Sus scrofa: one gene and its partner. The protein of the gene in region 1 interacts with the protein of each later gene in a biochemical or structural test. Links are inferred from orthologs where the notes say so. Each region holds a gene or a part of one and is shown on either strand. Other genes may lie near its edges.

What was found. The genes of interacting proteins can lie anywhere in the genome.
Region 2: the proteins of HLTF (region 1) and UBE2V2 form a complex in vitro, tested with the Homo sapiens proteins (2 studies listed by BioGRID). The link is inferred for Sus scrofa from reciprocal best matches to the Homo sapiens genes HLTF and UBE2V2.

The regions. Positions count from the first base shown.
Region 1 is NC_010455.5:89,314,351-89,321,370, reverse strand, and holds part of HLTF (helicase-like transcription factor), read left to right. Parts: intron 1-143; coding exon 144-310; intron 311-1,575; coding exon 1,576-1,709; intron 1,710-2,518; coding exon 2,519-2,616; intron 2,617-4,145; coding exon 4,146-4,220; intron 4,221-4,520; coding exon 4,521-4,712; intron 4,713-7,020. UniProt on the Homo sapiens protein: Has both helicase and E3 ubiquitin ligase activities. Possesses intrinsic ATP-dependent nucleosome-remodeling activity; This activity may be required for transcriptional activation or repression of specific target promoters.
Region 2 is NC_010446.5:79,648,124-79,655,918, reverse strand, and holds the start of UBE2V2 (ubiquitin-conjugating enzyme E2 variant 2), read left to right. Parts: upstream 1-3,416; 5' UTR 3,417-3,471; coding exon 3,472-3,487; intron 3,488-7,795. UniProt on the Homo sapiens protein: Has no ubiquitin ligase activity on its own. The UBE2V2/UBE2N heterodimer catalyzes the synthesis of non-canonical poly-ubiquitin chains that are linked through 'Lys-63'. This type of poly-ubiquitination does not lead to protein degradation by the proteasome.

The DNA.
Region 1 (7,020 bases):
GGAGTCCAAGAAAATGTACATTTCCTATATGTGGTGTTATTCATTAAGCATTAAAAATGAATGAAAATCCCAGATAAAGTATGAAGAAAACTGTCATTATATGTTTATTATTTATAATAATATCTGCTTATTATTTTTATTAGGTTAATAATAATGAAATGGTTGCATTACAACGAGAGCCTAATAACCCCTATGATAAGAATGCAATTAAAGTAAACAATGTGAATGGAAATCAGGTTGGCCATTTAAAGAAAGATCTTGCAGCTGCTTTGGCCTATATCATGGACAACAAATTGGCACAAGTTGAAGGGTAATGAGCTTTTGGAGTTTAGTTTTATAGTTGTAGTGATCTTTGAATTTAGGGGTATGCATAGTTTCCCTGAAAATTTTTGTCACTATGCCTTTAGCATGTTTCAGTGAATGTTTTAATTCTTCTTTCATCTGCCTCCACTACCCTAATCCATCAAATAAGCTATTCTCTCACTTTCCTGGTAGATTATCATCATGGAGAAAAATAGACTTTGGTTCAAATATTAGTCCATACCATCTTTTAAGAAAAAATCCTTTTAAAAAAACCTTTTGGTGCATTGATTTGGGAAATCTGGAAGTGCTTATTTAGATCAGAGGTTGTAAGCTGATAGCTTGTGATGAGGTGTAGATGAGTGTGATTTTTGTCTACACAATGTTTAAATGTTTTTTCATTTATTTCCAATATTTGAGTATCTGGATATTTTACATTTTATACATACTTTGTCTACACAGTGTTTAAATGTTTTTTCATTTATTTCCAATATTTAAATATCTGGATATTTTACATGTTATACATCTATTTGCAAAGATTTCTCTTGACAAATGGATGATCTGGTAATGCAGGATACTTATTTCCATATAACATCAGTTGACTGGAGCTGAGTAGCAGCAGTTGCATTAACTAGGTATATACCTTTTAGTTGTACCACCTGTTCCTTTTTTAAAACTTTGTCTCTTTGGTTATGTTTTCTCTTTCATGCATTTGTGTTTGTGATCTCAATTTAAATATAGGGTGTTTAGGATATTAAAATGTGAGTTTTGAGGAGAAATACTCAGCAGTACTTGTCACTTGGAGCCCCTTGGCTTTTGTTACTTAGAACTGAGCACTCAGCAGTGCTCAGTTCAAGTTTTTCAGCTACTGAGAGTAAACTTTTAGTGAATCCTGGATCAGAAATAGTTCTTGAAAATTATTCCTCATTCTCCCAGAGTGGATTTCTGCACTCGGTGGTTCTGTTAGTGAAAGCTCTACCTTCTCAGTTAAACTTACCATCTTACTTATCTTATGATCTTTGTAATATGCTCTCTATATTTTTAAACACTTTTATGTCATCTCCATTTTTTCTGGCATTCTGGTCCTAAAATCCATCTGTTTCTTCTCATTGTTGCTGGTCCTAGTCCATGTCCTTTTTCTGTCTTTCTAGTCTGCCCAGTTCTTTCTATTTTGTTTGCATGCAAAATTTGAATGTGACAATTATTTAGCAGATTCTAAATGGACTTAAATGTAAAAAATAACTTCTAATTTTCTTTTCCTTTGAATTACAATAGGGTAGTTCCTTTTGGTGCAAATAATGCTTTTACCATGCCTCTACATATGACTTTTTGGGGAAAAGAAGAAAATAAAAAAGCGGTTTTAGATCAGTTGAAGAAACATGGATTTAAATTGGGTCCTGCACCAAAAAGTAAGTTTAGGATTTAACCTATTATTTTGGTATCATAAGGTATGGGAATTGTAAAATCTTTATTCTCTTAAATAATACTTTGAATTTGGTTGGCTGAACCAATTGGTGCTAAAGGCTCCAAGTTCTTTTTTTCAGGAATCTTTTAAAACAAATCCTTCAAAATTTTTCCTCTTTATTTTGAAATAACTATAGATTATAGTTGCATAGATACACAGAAAAATGTACAAGGAGATCCCTCTCCTAATTTCTCCCAATGATAATATCTAGAAACCGCTGATTTTAACTATTCTCTTTAATAAATTACAGACAAAAAGAATCTCCCACTAGAGAAAGAAAAATATTAATTTGTTTTGCAAGAGTTGTTGAAACCCTGCGGAATTATTTTAATGTATTTTTTGAATGATTTAGAAGATGTATATGCTTTTAAATTTTTTAGGGAGTTCCTGTTGTGGCTCAGTGGGTTATGAACCTTGCTAGTATCCACGAAGACACAGGTTTGATACCTGGCCTTGCTCAGTGGGTTAAGGATCCATCATTGCCGTGAGCTGTGGTGTAGATTGCAGACATAGCTTGGATCCTGCATTGCTGTGGCTGTGGCTTAGGCTGATGACTGCATCTCTGATTCCACCCCTAGCCTGGGAACTTCATACGCCGTAGGTGTGGCCCCAGAAAGCAAAAAGAAAACAAATTTTTCAAAAATTATATTAAGGGAATTTTAAATTCAGCTTTACGTAAGCTTTAAAAGCTATTTACTTAAAGATAATTTATTTTGTTTGGTGATTTTATTCTTTTCATTTTGTAAATTATAGCTTTAGGATTCAGTTTGGAAAGTGGTTGGGGCTCTGGAAGAGCTGGACCAAGCTATAGTATGCCAGTTCACGCTGCAGTACAAATGACAACTGAACAGGTATACTTCTCTTTTGTTTTGTAATCTAAAAGTGAATTTTAAATGTTGAAGATTGATATTTAAAAGTATAGGATAAATATGTATGTGCTAGTATTAGTGATCTTTAGAGGTATAAGTTACCAAATGTTTAGGTAAAGTATATATTGCAAGCACTTATATGGAAAGAAAGCAATGCTAAGGAATATGTGCACACATATTCGTTCACACATATATTGAAACACACATATTGCTATATATGCTGGGATATTTTACTATGTCTTGATGTTTTTGTATTATTTGAAATTTAATGTTCATAATTAAAAAAAAATTTAAGCTTGAATCCTACTCCTTTTGCAGATGAGGTACTAAAAAATTAGTTCCAAATCTTTGACCTTAGTTATTTCTTACTTTGTCTACTTTGTGATCAAGGATGCAGTTATACTAGGTTAGTTTGGGGATAAATGATAAAAAATAAATTAATGCATATCAGTCTGCCAATTACATTGAAATTTTTTGTTTCTATTTTTAACTTTTTCTTTTTTTTTTTTTTTTTTCCTTTTTACTGTCCCACCTGAGGCATATGGAAGTTCTCAGGCTGGGGTGGAATTGGAGCTGCAGCTGCCACCTTACGACACAGCCACCTCAGCACTTCATCCAAGCTGCATCTGCGACCTATGCCACAGCTTGCGGCAATGCTGGATCTTTAACCCACTGAGCAAGGCTAGGGATCAAACCCGTATCCTTACAGATGTTATGTTGACTTCTTATCCTGCTGAGCCACAATGAGAATGCCATACTTTTAGCCTTTTTATATTCTAATTATAGTTACTGTATTTTCCCTGCTCATGATTAGAAGGACTTAAGCTTGTGCCCAGTGGGTAAACCCCAGATTACCTCTCCTCAATTATTAGACTTAGCCCGATTTGTTCTGGGCTGCTGCTGTGTATTTATTTGCCAATTTACAAAAGTAATTTTAGCATATATATGTTATTATAAAATTGGAGTAAATCAAATTAAAGAACCAACTAGATCAAATTAGCATAAGATTGAAATTATCCTAATGTTTTTCAGCACATAGCAGGATGATTGCAGTAATACTAAGTGAGATGTCATTTACTTGAAAAAGTCAAATATACATGGTAGGATCTGCCAAAATGGTTTGAATACAGTTAATAGAATCACATAATTTAAATGACAAAAGAAACTTTAGAAATACTCTAAACTTTAGAGATACTCATTTTGTAGGCATAAGATAACAGGGCCGTAAAGGTAAAGTATTTTGCCCAAAGTTATATATAGGTTATTTGTGACAGAGCTGTGACTGAAACTCAGGACTTAAAACTCCATTCTGTATTCCTTTGACTGTAACAGTTACAGGACCTATTTATTCTGCCTTTATCGAGCAGTGTATTATCACAAATAATTTATTTTACATACCTTTTGGTATTCATCTCTTTTGGTTAATTAAATGATTTGAAATCTCTGAATTACATGCAATTATTATTTTAATTGGTTTGCTTCATAATGTTTCTTGTTGTTCTTTGTTGTAGCTTAAGACAGAATTTGACAAATTGTTTGAAGATTTAAAAGAAGATGATAAAACTCATGAAATGGAACCAGCTGAGGTATTGAGCCAATGCTTTCTATTTAAAAATATTTGGATTTTAAGATACAGTGTTAATCTATACATTAAATTTTTTTGGCCGTGCCCATGGCCATGTGGAAGTTCCAGAGCCAGGGATCAAACCCACAGCAGGGATCTGAGTCACAGCAGTAACAACGCCAGATCCGTAATCTGCTACATCATAGGGGAACTCCGTTAATCTATACATTTTTATGACAAGATCAATTGTTTTCTAGATTCTGCATGGGGAAAAAGAAAAGGTTTATTGTATTTCTGTTTATGATATTTCCTTTATTTATAGGCTGTTGAAACACCATTACTTCCACATCAAAAACAAGCTTTAGCTTGGATGGTTTCACGGGAAAATAGTAAAGAACTTCCACCGTTCTGGGAACAGCGAAGTGACTTATACTATAACACAATAACTAATTTTTCTGAGAAGGACCGACCAGAAAATGTTCATGGAGGAATTTTAGCTGATGATATGGGTTTGGTAATTTTATTTTTTCTTGAGTTAATAACATTTTCCTTGTAACTATGATTTTATAGAAAGTAATTTTTGAAGTAGATATAGATGGGAAGATGTTGGTGCCAGTTGGGATTAGAATATAGTTTCTCTCATGGTTTTTACTTAAACTAATGCTAAGCTTTTTTTTTTTTTCTTTTGGTTCATTTGCCTAAAGTACAGTTAAAGTAATTAGTAATGATAAGAACATACATTTCTGAATTTTCTTTTGAATTTCAAGGTAGCTTATCTTTCATTTTTTTTTTTTTTCTTTTTACAGCTGCACCTGCAGCATACGGAAGTTCTTAGGCCAGGGGTTGAATCAGAGCTGCAGCTGGGTCCCATGCCACAGCCCCAGCTACACCAGATCCAAACCGCATATGCAACTAACTCTGCAGCTTATGGCTATACCAGATCCTTAACCCACTGACTGAGGCCAGCAATCGAACCCGCATTCTCACAGAGACAATGTTGGGTCCTTAACGTGCTGAGCCACAACAGGAATTCCTCACGGGCTTTCTAATAGGAAGATATGATTCCTTACACCAGCAGTTTTTATTCTTTTTGGTCTCAGCAACGCTTTACATTCTTGAAAATTATTGAGGATCTCAAAGAGCTTTTGTTTTTGTGAGTTTTCTATATTAATATGTCTTAATATTTATGATTTAGATATTAAATTTTTCTGATTGTTTTTAAAATAATAGTTAACAAAACTCATTACTTGTAAACAGAAATAGCGTATTTAAAATGAAAAGTACTCTAAAAGAAAAGCAGTTTTGATAAGGCTGGCATTTACATTTGACATTTTTGCAGATTTTTTGGTTTTTTTTTTTTAGGGCTACACCCATGCCTATAGAAATTCCCAGGCTAGGGGTCGAATCAGAGCTATAGCTGCTGGCCTACACCACAGCTACATAGGATCCAAGGTGCATCTGTGACCCACTTTACAGCTCATGGCAACACCGGATCCTTAACCTGCTGAGCAAGGCCAGAGATGAAACCCACATCCTCATGGATACTAGTCTGGTTTGTTACTGCTGAGCCATGACAGGAACTCCTCATTTTTGCAGATTTCTTTAATGTCTGGCCTGATAGTTGACAGCTAAATTATAATCTGTTTTTTCATTCATACTGTTATAATATGTTATTTTGGTTGAAGTATATAAAGAAAATTAGTCCTCACACAGCTATCCAGTTGTAAAAGGGAGTATTTTAATAGCTTTTTTAGATAACTAGATACAACGATAAGATTAAACAAGTATTAATTTATTAAAGGTTAATAGTTATAACTTAGAACCTAAAAATCTTATCAGTGAACTTTTTATACTTTGTTCCATTAATATCCACTAGTGTAGCTGGCACATTGAGTGGATATTTTACCCATGCATGATTTTGTAACAAAGTATTGCTCATTTGGAAAAGATTGGTTCTCCGAGTTACACAGAAATGCCAAATGTTGATGCATTTCATTATGCAGTATTAAAGAATTTACATTCATTGATACTACCGCTGATCTTATTAGAAAGATATTTACGGAGTTCCTGTCGTGGCACAGTGGTTAACGAATCCAACTAGGAACCATGAGGTTGCGGGTTCGATCCCTGGCCAACTAGGAACCATGAGGTTGCGGGTCCGATCCCTGGCCTTGCTCAGTGGGTTAAGGGTCCAGCGTTGCTGTGGCTGTGGCTTAGGCCGGCAGCTACAGCTCTGATTAGACCTCTAGCCTGGGAACCTCCATATGCCGTGGGAGCGGTCCTAGAAAAGGCAAAAAAAAAAAAAAAAAAAAAAGAAAGATATTTACATTTGGGAAGCTTCTGTGCTTTCAGCATTGGATACAAGTTTTCTAATATTCAATTTTTACTTGAAAGCTCAAATTTTATCATTAGCAACAAATACTGTCAGTTTTCCTTGGAGTTGATAGGCTCACTTTATTCATTTTTCAAGAAAATGTCTGGCACTCAGTCATAAATAACTAGTTGTCAGTTCTTTCAGTTACAAGGTTAATACTTGGAAGTGATAATGCATGATGATGCATGGTAGCTAGTTGAACTTCAGTTTAGTCTCAAGGGACTTTGCTCTAGATAACCTTCATATTTTGTTGTGCAAAAGAAGTATTTTCTATACCTCTTATCTTGTGATACAAAATATTCAAAAGATGTACTTAAGAGGTAAGATTTGATAAATGAATGTGTACTGCTTCATCAAGAACATTCTTAAAGTGAAACTTTGTTTTTTACTTATGTGATGGTTCCAAATATAATGACCACTGGTACAATGTAGTGCCAACAGCTCTGTT
Region 2 (7,795 bases), on another chromosome or scaffold:
AGTTTTTTTTTTAAAAAAATCGAGTTATACTTGATTTACAATATTATTAGTTTCAGGTGTACAACGCAGTGTTTCTAAACTTTTACATAATATTCCATTTAAAGTTATTATACACTGGGAACCATGTCTAGTCACTTGTGATGGAGCATGATAAGTGAAAATAGAATGTGTACATGTATGTGTAACTGGGTCACCATGCTGTACAGCAGAAAAAAAAATTGCATTGGGGAAATAACTATTAAAAAATAAATAAATAAATAAATAATAAAGTTATTATAAAACACTGGCTATATACCCTATCCTTCACAATATAGTCTCACACCTTATTTATTTTATGCATAGTAGTTTGTACCTCTTACTCACCTAACACTACCTTGCCCCTCCTTCTTCCTTTTCCCCTCGGATAACCATTAGTCTGTTCTCTATATCTATGAACCTGTTTCTGTTTCATTACACTCACTTGTTTGTTTGATTTTTTAGATTCCACATATAAGTGAAAACAGAGTATCTGTCTTTGTCTCACTTACTTAGCGTAATACCCCTCAGGTGCATCCATGTTGCTGACAAAGGCAAAATTCCATTTGTTTTTATGGCTGATTAATAATCCATCATATGTATGTACCACATCTTCTTTATCCATTCCTCTGTCGATGGACACTTTAGGTTGCTTCCATGTCTTGGGTACTGTGAGAGAGTGTGTTTGTTTCCTATTGCTGCAAAACAAATTATTCCAAAATGTAGTGGCTTAAAACAGCAAACATGTATTATCTCATTATTGGTGGGTCAGGAATCTGGGCACCTTTAGCTGGTTCCTCTGTCTCTAGCAGAGTGGCAATGAAGGGGCTGGCCCAGGATGCAGTGTCATCCAAAGAGATAACGGGGAGGATCTGCTTGCAAGCTCACCCCCATATTTGTTTTGTTTTTTTTTTTTTTTGTCTTTTTGCCATTTCTTGGGCCACTCCTGCGGGCATATGGAGTTTCCCAGACTAGGGGTCTAATTGGAGCTGTAGCTGCCAGCCTACGCCAGAGCCACAGCAGCGCAGGATCTGAGCCGCGTCTTCGACCTACACCACAGCTCACGGCAACGCCAGATCGTTAACCCACTGAGCAAGGGCAGGGATCGAACCCGCAACCTCATGGTTTGTAGTGGGATTCGTTCGCCATGATGGGAACTCCCCATATTTGTTGATAGGGTTCAGTTCTTTGTGGCTGTTGAACCGAAGACCTCACTTCCTCAAGGTTCTTGGGCCAGAAGATCTTAGCTCCTTTCCACGTGGGCTTCTCTAGAAGGCAGCTGTCAGGATGACAGCTGGCTTCCTTCACAGGGAGCAAGAGAGAGCATGTCGGAAATCCAGTCTCTGGCCCCCCATGCCTAAAGCATGCAGAAGTTCTGAGGTCAAGGATTAAACCTGAGCCACAGCAGTGACAAGGCTGAATCCTTACCCCCGAGCCACTAGGGAACTCCAGGAGTCCTTTTTTTTTTGCTTTTTAGGGCCGCACCTGTAGCATACAGAGTTTGCCAGGATAGGGGTCAAATTGGAGCTGTAACTGCTGGCCTACAACACAGGCACAGCAATGTGGGATCTGAGCCATGTCTGTGACCTACATTATAGCTCACAGCAATGCTAGATCCTTAACCCATTGGGCGAGGCCAGGGATTGAACCTGCCTAGTCAGATTCATTTCCATTGAACCACAATAGGAACTCCCAGCAGCCTATTCTTTCTAAACAAAATCTCAGAAGTGATATTCCTGCACTTGTCTTATTTTGTTTATTGGAAGCTGGTCAGTAAACCCAGCCCCCACAAAAGGCAAGAGGATTATAAAACAAGGTATCAACACCAGAAGGGATCACTGGGAGCCGTTATAGAGGCTTCCTTCCAGAGAAGAGTGCAACAAATCTTAAAAGAGCACTCTATAGTGCCACTTCCTATTATGAGGCATAGCTGGGAGCAACTGGGAAGAAAAAGCAGCTGACACAGCACATTCAGAAATTAAGAACAGGATCTGCCTCCTCCCAAAGTCTAAGTCATGTGTAAGAGATGGGTGAGAAATAAGGGTGCAGGGTGGAAAGAAGTGGCCCCTCTGACTAGAAAATAGTGGCGTAGCATTAAGGATCTAGTGGCATTGTTACTGCAGCAGTGCAGGTTTCATTCCTGGCCTGGGAACTTCCACACATGCTGCAGGTTTGGCCAAAAATATTGCCTGCCATATCAGTAAACAAAGGATGTCATAGCCATCAGGCCACCACATTGGGAATTCAGCCCAGGGAGCGCTGCAGCCACCACCAAGGCTGCATCCTGAGGGCGCGGGATACTAAGGGCACAAGGTAGCTAAGGTGTTCGTCAAAGGAATATTTCAATGCCAGACTCTGCACCTTTCCATAGACAAAAAAGCGTGAAATTCTTTAATTTGGGATGTCTGTTCTTCAACAGTAATGTTCTGATGCTCAGACTTTCTAGTCTTTGCTACACTCCCCCCACTTCCAAGCAGTCCCTCACAGTGATCTGAGTCTCGGCTCCCGCGCTCCAAGTCCTCAGAATGTCTGCCAAACAAAACCTAACTCTCAGCTTTCAGGCTGTGCGTTTTTTTCAGTCAGCACCACCCAACAAGAACCACCTCGCCTTGTGCATAGCAAGTACCACTAAGGCAGGACTTGGGACGAGCTCCCCGGCCCCGCCCGGTCGGGGATACCAGCGCGGGGGGTGCGGGACTCCGTCCGCGCCCCTTCTGCGGGTAGCAGGGTGCACGCACCCCGGGACCTCGCAGCCCTCGGGGGTCGCCGGCAGTCCTACGCGGGGCCGGCTTGGCGCCACCACCCGAGTCTGTGCGCGTCCCCGCGGCCGCCGCCAACAGTGGGGGCACGTTCGCAGCGAGGCTCTTCTGTGACTCGGAAGCTCTTTTACACTTTTGGGGAGAATTTTCTAGACTTGGACGTAGATCTTAATCATTGCCTCCACCAACTCATATCGCAAAAGAAAATACGAATAAGGTAGCTTAATTTTAAGGGTTCTTTAAACTTCCGATCCGCTTCTTGAATTATTTCCACAGAAAACGACCCGTCGGGACCAGCCTTCCTCCCACAACCCCTCCGTTCAACTCTCAGAGCCGCGTCCTTCCCCATCAGGGGGCCCTCGGCGGCGCTCCGCCCCCCGGCTCGACGCACGCCCGTGACGTCACGCCGGCGAGGGTTCTCCGAAGCGCGAGCCCTTCCCGGAGCGTTCTTGCCTCGCGCTTCGCTCTCTCTTACGGTGACTGACTCGAGAGTGTTCCGTCAACTTCTTCTGTCACATTTCTCTGAAGTAGTTGCAGCGCTTCGGGAACCCGGAAACCGCGGGGCGGGTCCGTGGTGACGCACCGGAAGCCGCGGGGCGGGACCCTGCAGTCGGAAGCCGCAGGGCGGGCAGTGGCGCTCCCGGAAGTGGCGCGGTCTTCGCGTGCGTGAGGGCGGTGCGTCGGGCTGCAGGAGAAGATGGCGGTCTCCACAGGTCTGTTCCCGGCCGGGCCGCTTGCTTTTCCACCCCGACCCGAGCTGCGCCTCCGCCTGCTGCCGGCTATCGGCCTGGCCATGCGGAGAAGCAGGAGCGCGGCCCCTTGGCGGCTGCGTTCCCCGTGAAGCGCACTGGGAACAGGGAGGGTCGGGGCTGCTGTCGGGGCGGCGGTCGTGCCCGCGCGTCGGCTGCGCGCCCTAGAGCTGGGCTGGGCCCTGCTTGGTCTGGGGTCCTGCAGGCGTTGCTGGGTCAGGCAGGCGGGGGCTCGCGGACTGTGAGAGAGCGAGCAGGGGTGCCCAGGGTGGGCTACCTCCACCTGGGCGCGGGAGGGCTCGCTTGGGGGTCCAGGCTGAAGCGAGTCTGATTCCTGACTCGCCTTGACGTGGGCGGAGGACGGGGCCGTCTCCTAACTGACCGCAGGTGTGTTATCTTTCATTTGAGTGAAAAACTGTGGTGCAAACTAAGTAAAAGCAAGGAGTGAGGTGAACGCTAACTGAAGAAAAAGCAATTTCTTAGATTAGCTATTCAACTCCTTTCTTGCACTTAATACAGTTTTGTTTTCTATGAGCACAGACTTTGAAATTAAGTATTACCACTAAGATTTTAGACATTTGACTATTAAATGTTAAAGTCAAAATGTTAGGCTTTATTACTTAAAAATATTAATGCGTATGATCTTTAATTTTTCTAATCATACCCATTAATACAAACTAGTTTTGCATTTCATGTCATCATTATATAATAAAACGAATTTTCAAGTCTACATACTAAAGTGGAAGGCATCAGTGTATGTTGTGATGGGTAGTCTCAAGGTAATACCATTCTACATTCATTTCAGTGAGAAGTTGTGTCTTTTTAATGTCTCATCTTGACTACGTGCAGGCGTCACGATAAGATGTTTAGTTTTGGTGTTGGGGAACTGTTTCAGTAGACTGATGAGAGATGAGATGAGAACTAAGTAATAAAGCATGGGTGATTTAAAAGTGATATTTTAGTGTTAAAACTTTATAATTACTGCCCTTTCCATTTGAAATCCTGCGTGCTTGTTAGTGGGGCTGTGTTTATGAGATGTGCTTAGTATTTATAGGTTCTTGAAAACTTAGTAATAAAATGATTTATTTTCATTCGATTGATAGTTTTCACTTTGTGGATTTCATTTTTTACTTAAACACAATCCCCCCCACACACACTGTACATATGAGAGAGTGTGGAAATATTTTGAAAAGACCAATGGTTATATTAATGACAGGTACTTTTTATTAACCACATTTAATCATTTGGGGGAGTTGTAAGGAAATTGCCGTGAGATTATTTGCATATTTGTTATATATTGGAATGTGTATTTTCTGGTCTGTATTTTCAGCATTCCTAAATTCTGTATTTACACCGTTTAGATTTATGAGATTTGAAACTTTAGCTTAATTAAAAAGAATATATTTTAGGCAGTTAATTGATGTTTTCTTAAACCACTGAAATTTGTTTTGAAACTGTTGCTAAAAATTGCCCTGGTGAATTTTATGTTCTAGTTATCCTTTTTTGTGCTTTACAAGAGTGACAGTGTTGTCCACTTGGGGGAGAGGTGTCTAAAGTAAGTTCTGGATTATGTATTGGAACTTTTTTTTTTTTTTTTTTAATGGCTGAACTTGAGGCATACGGAAGTACCTGGGCCAGGAATTGAACTTGAGCCGCAGCTGCAACCTGTGTCACAGCTGCGGCAATGATGGATCCTTTAACCCACAGCACCAGGCTGGGGATGGAATCCATGCATCTGCAGCAACCTGAGCCGATGTAGTTGGATTCTTAACCCACTGCACCACAGCAGGAACTCCTGGAGCTATTTTTAAATTATATTTTCTCTTAGTTACACTTTCATATTTGCTTCTTGGTAGTAAGGGAGGGAAACAGTACCTTTATATCTGTGAAGTAGATGTGGTAAAGCTTGAAATTTAAATTAGATTAGTTAGATCAGGTATTGTATATGTTTGCTTGTTTTTCTTTTTCTTTCCTTTTCTTTTTTGGCTGCTCCTGAGGCATATTGAAATTCCCAGGCCAGAGATCAAATCCAAGCCACACCTGCAACATATGCCACAGCTTCAGCAGTGCCAGATCCTTAATCCACTGTGCTGGGCCGGATTGAACTGGTGCCTCCACAGAGATAAGATGGATCCTTAACCCACTGCACCACAGTGGGTACTCCTACTTGTTTTTTAATTGAGCCAAAATAACCTTGACAAAAATAGTTATTTGATAGGCCAAAAAGAAAAAGCATCCGACAAATATTTTTTTTTACCTCAATTAAAGCACTGTATTTTAATGTCCATTGCCTAAGTCATATGTTTTTATCCTTTCTGTTACTAGAAAAAAAATTGATGGGGATTCTAATTAAACAGACCTCTGAGCTGAAACATACTTCGCCATACTACTTGATCCTCTTTTTTTGTAGATGAGAAAACTGAGGCCTAAGGAAATATAAGATTTTACATAGTTGGTTATCAATAGAGTCCAGATTAGAATCTAGTTTTTTTACTCTCAGCCTAGTGCTTTTTTCATCATGAGGAACTCTGAATTTGGAATAATCCTGAAATCAGGAGCCCTTATTCCCTTTTAGATTTGAGAGTGGCTTTCATGCTTCTCTTCTAGTAGAATCCTTATTCAGACTCTCAGACACTTCCATTCATGAAATGGGCTGTGGTGGAAACCCCACTGGCTAGATTCCCAGTTCCCAGAGGCAGAGTCACTTCTGGGGGGTCGGTATGATTTCATAGCACACAGCTTAAAAAAAAAATAAAAATACACTGCTATGTTTAGTACCTGTGATTCAAAATTAAAAGTGTATGCAATAATTTATAGTAATAGTACATTTTTAATTTTAGAGTACTTTCAAATTTTACAGAAAAGTTGTGAGGATGGTACAGGGCATTCCTATACATGTATCCAATTTCTCCTGTTAACATCATGGTCTGGTACATTTATCACCAAGTAATGAACGAGTATCAACATACTTATCATTAACTGAAGTTGGTACTGTATTCAGGTTTCTTTAGTTTTTACCTAATGTCTGTTTCTGTCCGAGGATCCCATCCAGAATACATTGTAATGTGAAACATTTGAATATTTTTTGTCATTTATCAGTAGTTAGACTAGTGGTGTGATGGAGCTGTCTTCTCTGAATGCAGAAGATTGCAAAATGTCTTTAGTGAGAGGCTCAGAAAAAAAGATGGAATATTTTTTCTTTGTTGGTAAGCCACATGAGTGGAAAACAAGACCAAAGTAAAACCCAATTACCATTTTCAGAAGTGGGCAGCATTATGTATCCTGGAGCAAGAACTGGGTTAGCAGTGTTTCAGTTTTCCTGCTGCCCTGCTAGATTGCTTTGCATGCTAGATATGCTCCTGCGCTCTTAAGCCTTGCTTTCCACCTCCCCGTCTATGAAAAGGTTGGACAATATGAGGTTGTTTTCCCCATATTAAAGATGAAGATGTGTGGATATGGCAGAACGTGGGAGCAGTAAAAGAGATTTGCATGTATAAATCATAGAATTTGGAAACTAAACAATATAGGAGCTGAACTGTTATAGTCTAAGGTATTTCCCTCTTCAGACTAATAACTGGCCTGGTAGATTTCTCTGTTAGTTATGAACCTGGATGCTCCTGATGCATGTTTGCTCTTGATAACGTCAGGTACTGCTTACTGTGGAGCAGCCCTCCCTTTGCAGAGTAGTTGGGGTGGCAGACTGAAACTGTCCCAAACAGTCTTACTAAGTGTGAAAAATTAGGATCATTCTGTGACCTTTGAAAATGTTCACTAAAACATTTTTTAAAAAGTAAAACTAACATTTGTTAGTACACTGTGATTTAAATGTGAGTTTAAGAATTAGAATGGGGGAGTTCCTGTCGAGGCGCAGTGGTTAACGAATCTGACTAGGAACCATGAGGTTGCAGGTTCAATCCTTGGCCTTGCTCAGTGGGTTAAGGATCCTGCGGTTGCCGTGAGCTGTGGTGTAGGTTGCAGACGAGGCTTGGATCTGGTGTTGATGTGGCTCTGGTATAGGCTGGCGGCTACAGCTCTTATTTGACCCCTAACCTGGGAACCTCCATATGCTGCGAGTGTGGCCCTAAAAGGACAAAAGACAAAAAAAAAAAAAAAAAAAAAGAAAAAAGAATTAGAATGGGAGTTCTCTAGTGGTGCAGTAGATTAAGGATCCAAAGGATCCAGCGTTTTCATTGCAGTGGCCCAGGGCACTGCTACCGTGCAGTTTCAATCCCTGGGGACTTCCACGTGCGGTGGGTGTAGCCAGAAAACAAA